Linked DNA regions of Bombyx mori. The protein of the gene in region 1 purifies or fractionates together with the protein of each later gene. This does not show direct contact. Links are inferred from orthologs where the notes say so. Each region holds a gene or a part of one and is shown in the gene's direction. Other genes may lie near its edges.

Region 1 (3,759 bases):
ATAGGCAAAAACAGTCCTCAGTGGATCTTCGACAGAAACAGTTCTCAACAGACCATCAAGACAGAAACAGTTCTCAGCAGATCATCAAGACAGAAACAGTTCTCAGAAGCTCTCCGACAAAGAAACATCAGCAAGACAGAAACAGTTACCAGCAGTTCTCCGATAGTACAGTTACCACCAGTGAACCAGACAGTTATCTGTGAAACCTCGCTACAGAAGCCGAAACCCATCGAAAGAAACAGCAGTCTTCTACCAGCGCACAAACAGACAGCAGAAAATATTATTACACGACTCGGAAACAGCCATACAGACCGGGTCGTGTACACTACACATAACATCGCTTGTGTTTAAGAAATTGTAAAATCTATTAGTTTTAAACAATACTTCTCAGAAAAGGTAAATTAATTCGGAAATTATAAATATTGCTCCACTAAAGTATAAAATATGGGAAAAAGTGTGAAAAGTTAATAGTTGGGGAATAAAACCGAGCATTTGAGTTGATTAAACATTATTACCAACAGTTGAATTGTGATTTCTGTACAATAATGTTACTAAAAATGTATGAGAATAAACTGATATTCAAAATTTTTTCAAATTAAATACGTACTCTAAAGTATCAAATACTGGAATTTAAATATATCCATAAACGGCAATAGCCGCGATATTATGGATCATTTTGAGCCTTTAGGGGTATTTTGTGAAAGTGTGTTTGTTTTTTAAATTCCTGGGATTCTAACGATTTTGTTGTATGATCCACATTTATTCCTTTGTTCATTTTGATTCACTCTCTAACGAACCAGCATTACAACCGCAGCCTCTGACGTCATACTAAAAATAAATCCTTATTTACCATAATACTTCTTAAAATAATACAAATGTATCTTTTTGCGACCATGCTTGTATGAAAAACAGATTATTTTAAAGGTATGCTGACCAGAGATTAGTAGAAGTATGATGCTTACGTTTAAAAATGTAGATCTATTTCTTTTGAGTAGGTAGGTTGACAAAGAAATACCAAAGAGTAGCGAGAAAAAATACTATTTAATATTATTATGTATGTAGTAGGTACGTTAGTACATAATTTGAAAAAAAATTGCTTGATTTCAATGTATAATGACAGTGAATCATTTGACAGAAAGTTAACTACCGTGGATTTTGTTTTGGATCTGTGAAAATTTTTCCATTGTCAACGTCAAAACAGAAACCAAAATAAAAAATCAAAACATTGTTGTGTTGACTGTCGTTCAGTGTACTGTATCGTTCTTAATATTTTGTCCGTAAATTGCGTTAATTAAAATAGTGAAAATGCAGAGTGCGTCTGATGTAATATCATCGTTGTTTTGGCTTAAAGACAATAGTGATATTGAAGAAGACCCAGAACAACAAATTGTAGAGCAATTTGTGCAAAATGTTGAAGACTTTAGCTCTCAGTACGGAAGTGAAATCAGTGTTTCATATACAGCTTTCAACCTCCGGGGTCCACCATCCAATTTTCCTGACTACGGAGATTACCCTCAAGCCTTCGTTATGGTAAATTTATTACAAAATTACTAGTAATAATTTTCAATCTCAATTTAAATTTAAATTATGTTGCCTTAAGCCCATAAACTTATGCACTAGTATACCTTAACTTTTCATAAATTCGTAAAATAAAATGGGGTAGCCAATAATTAATTTTATAGGTTGGAGGAAATGTTTTTGAACTAGCTGCTCAAAATTAGAATATTTAAATTCCACTCTGTGGTTGAAAATGGCCATATAATTTGGAATCCTGAGACATTTTAAAAGTTAAATATTTTCGACTTGTAAATTTACTTACTTATCTACAGAAAAAAAAAAAAAAACATATTAATCGCATTTGTTTTTCTGCAAGAAACTGGTGAACTTGTACCACATAAAGTAACAATGCAATTCTAAAAATTGGTACATATGACATGAAATAATTAATATTAATTGGTGGTCAAAATACCACACTGGTGGTAGGACCTCTTGTGAGTCCGCACGGGTAGGTACCACCACCCTGCCTATTTCTGCCGTGAAGCAGTAATGCGTTTCGGTTTGAAGGATGGGGCAGCCGTTGTATCTTTACCGAGACCTTGGAACTTATATCTGAAGGTGGGTGGCGCATTTATATTGTAGATGTCTATGGGCTCCAGTAACCACTTAACACCAGGTGGGCTGTGAGCTCGTCCATCCATCTAAACAATTAAAAAAAAAAATCTTAATAAATGACAACTCAAGACTTGATTCAATTTATATCTAACATTTTCTTTTTGTGTTTTTCTTTTCTTTATTCTGTATTGTACACACAGTTAATACAATAAAATAATTGCAAAAAGTTATAAAATGGCGAGCTTAACTCAACAATTGAATTATATACCAGCTAACTGTTCTTAAAGAGGGTGAGCTTTACATAGGTGGGTATAAGAGTACAATCTAATCATTTTTTACTGGCTATTTTTTGTTTGAAGCAAGAAAAATAGAACTGTTTCCAATATATTTTATTGATGACACTAAAGTCATCAATAGTTTCTAAATAAATTAATTAAATATACAAAAGTCATAGGTAAACTTAATAAACTGTTTTCCTTTGCCTATATAAGAAATTTTAATTTTTAAAGAAAAGCTAGCCATTTTGGCTAAGGCCTTTGATTTAATGATTAGATATTTGAAATTTGTCCAATTGATTCTTGAAAAAGTTTAGTGTTGGTGTCTTAGTAACTTTTTCTAGAAACTTGTTCCATAGAGTCATAACTCAACATGGTAGGATTTATTTTAGGGGGTGGTCTTGTAAATGCTTTTGTTTATTGAATGGGCTGAAAGACAAGCTTGTTATTTAAGTAAGCTGCAATATCCTATTATGAACCTTTTTCTGTTTACACTCAATCATCCTACGCAGTGTGAGAGTATGTTTCTAAGTCATTCACAACCTGTGATCTATAGCATAATGCATTTAAATTAGTTTTGAATGGGACTTAATATGATTCTGCTTACTTTAGACATAACATTATGAAAAATATACTTAGTGTGTAAAAATTTCAAAATACCTAATTCAGCATAAACATTCTAGAGGACTTATGGCACCTGGTGGGATGAAGCTCCATCAGCACAAGAAGACTACATGCCACAGAATGCAAGCACTATAACAAGTCAAGACTTTGTAGGTATGTATGAACAATGATTAAATGAGAAACTTCAATCATAATTAAATAATTGTAAACTGCTATTGAATATTATGGGTTTTATATCATGACTCCTATATCAATAAAAACGCGATATACCACATACAAATTTGATAATCGTGAGAATTAGCAATATTGAAATTAATAAAACCAGTAGTTGCACGAATTGACCACATTGAATAATAATCTGAAATCTTTTAGAGGGCGACATTGATGAAACTATTCGTGGGTGTACTAGGAATACAATTTCTAGATATTCTTACTGGCTCATATTTTCTATTCGTTCCCTCAATGCTGAGGATCGTGACTGTATGTCAATCTTCTCCACTCGGTCCGGTTCTGCGCCATATGTACCGCTCCCCATATCTGGCCTCCAGTCACCTCCTTGAGTTGGTCAACCCATCTAGCTGGCGCTCTTCCTCTAGCGCGCTTCCCCTCCATCTGTCCGAGAATTGTGAGTTTCTCCAGGCTGTGCAATGAGGATCGCATTATGTGCCCAAAGAAACTCCGGATCCTTTCCTGGCACATAGTCAGCAGGCGCTTGGTGACCTTCAACTCTTCGAGGATGGAGACATTG
Region 2 (3,759 bases), on another chromosome or scaffold:
TTTTTTAAATTATTTATTATTATTATGAATTATTTATATTATACAATTTCTCTCTATTTATTTATATATTTAACTTGTCTTTAATTATTACTATTATTTGATATTTTTTCACACCATCGCAGCTACCACGCGATTTTTTTTCTTGAATCAAGGCATAAAATTTCTCGATTGACTTAACATATTTATACTTTGTTGATGACAAAATCTAATTATCCTTAAAGATTAAGGTCACCAATGACACATAGTTACACTATGACTTAATTCATTACGAGAAACGGATACGCGCTCTCGCTCTCTGCTGTTCTATCTCGAAGTAACCATTCAAACCAGCCTTGATCGACAGCTGTAAGCGCTTAAAGTTCAGAGCACATTAAATAAGGAATTCTTCGGTATTTTTATTTATTACATTGTCCCCGTTTTTATTAGACTAAACACGGTAGATAGTAAAACAAAACAATAAAACAATAAGATTAACTTGGAAACTATTTCTGGGTAGGTTTCACTTCTGGATTAAAAGTTATTTATTTCATTTTGTAAATATAGAAGTGTAAGGATAAATGAAAAAAAAATTTATCTTATCATGATTTACCTCCTGTTTTTACAACTTTAAGATCAAAATTCCAGCGCACTGAGTTTCACGCCAACTTTTTTTTTTATTGCTTAGATGGGGGACGAGCTCACAGCCCACCTGGTGTTAAGTGGTTACTGGAGCCCATAGACATCTACAACGTAAATGCGCCACCCACCTTGAGATAGCTTAGATGGGGGGACGAGCTCACAGCCCACCTGGTGTTAAGTGGTTACTGGAGCCCATAGACATCTACAACGTAAATGCGCCACCCACCTTGAGATATAAGTTCTAAAGTCTCAAGTATGTTACAGTTACAGCAGCTGCCCCACCCTTTAAACCAAAACGCAGTACTGCTTTAAGGCAGAAATAGGCAGGGTGGCGGTACCTACTCACACGGACTCACAAGAGGTCCTACCGCCAATTATTCTCTCAGTTCTCAGTGGATCGCGTTTCCGATCCAGTGGTAGATTTTGTGAAGCACTGCTCTTGCTAGGGCTAGTGTTAGCAAATTCGCCAGGTTAAAGCACCGCGAGCTCACCTAACTCGCCAGATGAATATGGTATGACCCCTCCAGGTTACTGGAATAGATAGGAAAAATAATAATCGATAATACTGAAAAAATCGAAGACATTAAATTTATTAGGTTCAACATATTATATACAAATGAAAATGAAATCATTCGAAAAACAACATTTTTTTAAATTGCACAATTTTGAAATAAAATCTGTTAAGGCGTCTGAAATCGAACTTTAATCGATTAACAAATTTAATCATATCGCATATCGTATCTGAACTGATTATGCCACACTATCCACAACTGTCAGTTCCAATCAAAACAACACAAAACACAAACAAAGAAGGTTGCATTCGGTGTTGATTCAGTCCGTTCTTTCTTTGTTTTCGCATTTTAAAAGCGAAGAAGCCCGGTTGAACACAGCGTATATTATTAAAAATACGTTTATAAGTAATTTTCTAGTACCACGACTTATTTCCGCGCGATGGCGTCGAGAAAACTGAACACAATCGAAGACTTGAGCGGTGAGTGTTGTAAATAAACATTGAGTATGTGGCGTCCAACTTTACAAACAGGTTTCTTTTACGTCTCATTTATTACATAAAACGCAATTTTTGGGAGTTTGCTTTTGTTTTTTTTTCTAACAGCTGTTGTTTTGATTTCGCGAAATGGCGTCATATAGCCTGTTGAACTGTCGAGGTCAGCAAAATCGAAAACACGCGATAGTGCGTCACAATCTGCGTACGTGATTCGTCTGATGTTAACCGGCTATATGAAAATACCATAATCCTAATGAAAAAGATATGGCTTAATCATATTCCTATTTAGTCAGCTTTTACCGTAACTAAAAATGCGTAGGTACCTCTTCACTTATATGGCTGCCTGGTACTTGCACTTTCGGAATGAGAAAGTTTCCTCAGAAAAAAAAACCAAAAGTGTGATTGATATATTAAAATCATCCTTTTCTAAAACATAACAAATTGGTAATTATTAGTAATGTAATTTTCTCAAGACAACCAGTGACTTTCAATTTAAAAATTAAAATCCAAAACCTGGGTATTAATAATAATTGTCTACCTAAAATTAAACTAAACATTATGCATTGTTTAACAACTGTGACGAAATTGTAAGAAAAGTGTCTTCACATGAATATATTTACAAAAATATTTCAATTCAATTTTCATAAAACATAATAGCCATTTTAATAAATAATAATATAACAAACAAATAATTCCATTGTTCCTACTGACTGGTTATTCTGTATTGGCTTAATTACATTTTAATTTAGTCAACTGTAGCTAAAGATTCAACCTCTTCACTTATATAGCTTCCTAGTACACATTCTTGTCGAATGTGAGGATTAAAAAAAAGCATATCGCTTTTTACATGCTTATAAAAAGCTGGACTGGTTTCATGAAACATTTGTCATTGGAGGCGGTCTTGAAAAAACCTGAACTTTTAGAGTAATTCTACCACTTCTATTTTGGTCTGTAGCGTCCGCATTAACTATTCAACTTCCTGATGAGTTATTTTCGTCATATGATTAAGCATCGGGTATGATACTTGTGTTCTAAAATATAATCTTTGTTTAAATCTTATACCGTAAAAATTCTGACCATTAAATTTGGTATTACCATTGTGTCTATATGTTCAAGACAATTAACTGGAAATTCTTTGTAAATTGACATCTCTGAACGGTGTCTATTCTGTTTGTGTCTTCGTCTATATTTTGCCCTTATTGAAACTAAAATAATAAAAATTTCATTTGATTTAGGCTTACAAAATAAATTACAAGGTTAATTTCCATTTGTATTTGTACTATACCTTTAAGAGAGAAATAAATAAATAATAATAATTATTATTATTATTTAATTTTTGACTGTCATAATTAAGAATTAAAGACTAAGAAAATATTCCAGTTTTCTCTATGAGACAAACGATGATAACCTCTAGTTTCCCCTAGTACTTTCTAGTAGAATATGTAAATGCTTGAATATTGCCATAAATAAATATAACAAACATATATTTTTCAATTTCTGAATCTATTAAAAATATTTGGAAATCTGAAAGAAAAAATTGCTTTCATTTCATGATAACTGAGAATTTTTTAAAGTTAAATTCCTCATGCCTAACATTTCGAATTTGAAGTTCAACATTATCACTGCTTATTTTATAAACGTCAATTTTTCATCTTATCTGAACGTATGTAGCCTTTGTCAGAAGCTAATCGTGTATAAATTGGCCACAATTGAAAACGACCGAGACGTTCCCATTGTAGATTTAAGAGCGTCAACCTCATAAAAAAACATAGAATAGTAAATTGTAGATGGATAGAAAATAACATTGAAGTATACCAATCAAGTCTGGTGAAGCGCACCACCACCCGAAGTGATGACCACGACCACTCTGCCAAGAATGCATGCGACTGAGAAATACCAATATGTGTGTGTTGCTGTGGCAGAAGATGTTCTGAATACCATGGACTACCATAGAACTAACAAGTACATCTCGATAGAGCTAAACATCTAAATAAATAATAGTTTAAAAAAACGAATAAAATAAGCTTTTATAGAAAAATCAACTAAAAAACAGAAAAGAAATTTTAATAAATTTGAGTTAAAAATAGTGTAAGAAAAAATGATTTTATTGTAAAAAAAGCGTGGGGTGCTTTTCA

What was found. Proteins that work in one complex are often made in the same cells at the same time.
Region 2: the proteins of F-box/LRR-repeat protein 4 (region 1) and BCL2/adenovirus E1B 19 kDa protein-interacting protein 3 purify together in Homo sapiens (affinity purification with western blotting; 4 studies listed by BioGRID, with this or other methods). This does not show direct contact. The link is inferred for Bombyx mori from reciprocal best matches to the Homo sapiens genes FBXL4 and BNIP3.

Annotation. Positions count from the first base shown.
Region 1 is NC_085114.1:5,910,913-5,914,671, reverse strand, and holds the start of F-box/LRR-repeat protein 4, read left to right. Parts: upstream 1-1,185; 5' UTR 1,186-1,305; coding exon 1,306-1,530; intron 1,531-3,070; coding exon 3,071-3,164; intron 3,165-3,759. UniProt on the Homo sapiens protein: Substrate-recognition component of the mitochondria-localized SCF-FBXL4 ubiquitin E3 ligase complex that plays a role in the restriction of mitophagy by controlling the degradation of BNIP3 and NIX mitophagy receptors.
Region 2 is NC_085117.1:571,537-575,295, forward strand, and holds the start of BCL2/adenovirus E1B 19 kDa protein-interacting protein 3, read left to right. Parts: upstream 1-1,187; 5' UTR 1,188-1,569; coding exon 1,570-1,609; exon of another isoform or gene 1,610-3,448; intron 3,449-3,521; exon of another isoform or gene 3,522-3,666; intron 3,667-3,759. UniProt on the Homo sapiens protein: Apoptosis-inducing protein that can overcome BCL2 suppression. May play a role in repartitioning calcium between the two major intracellular calcium stores in association with BCL2.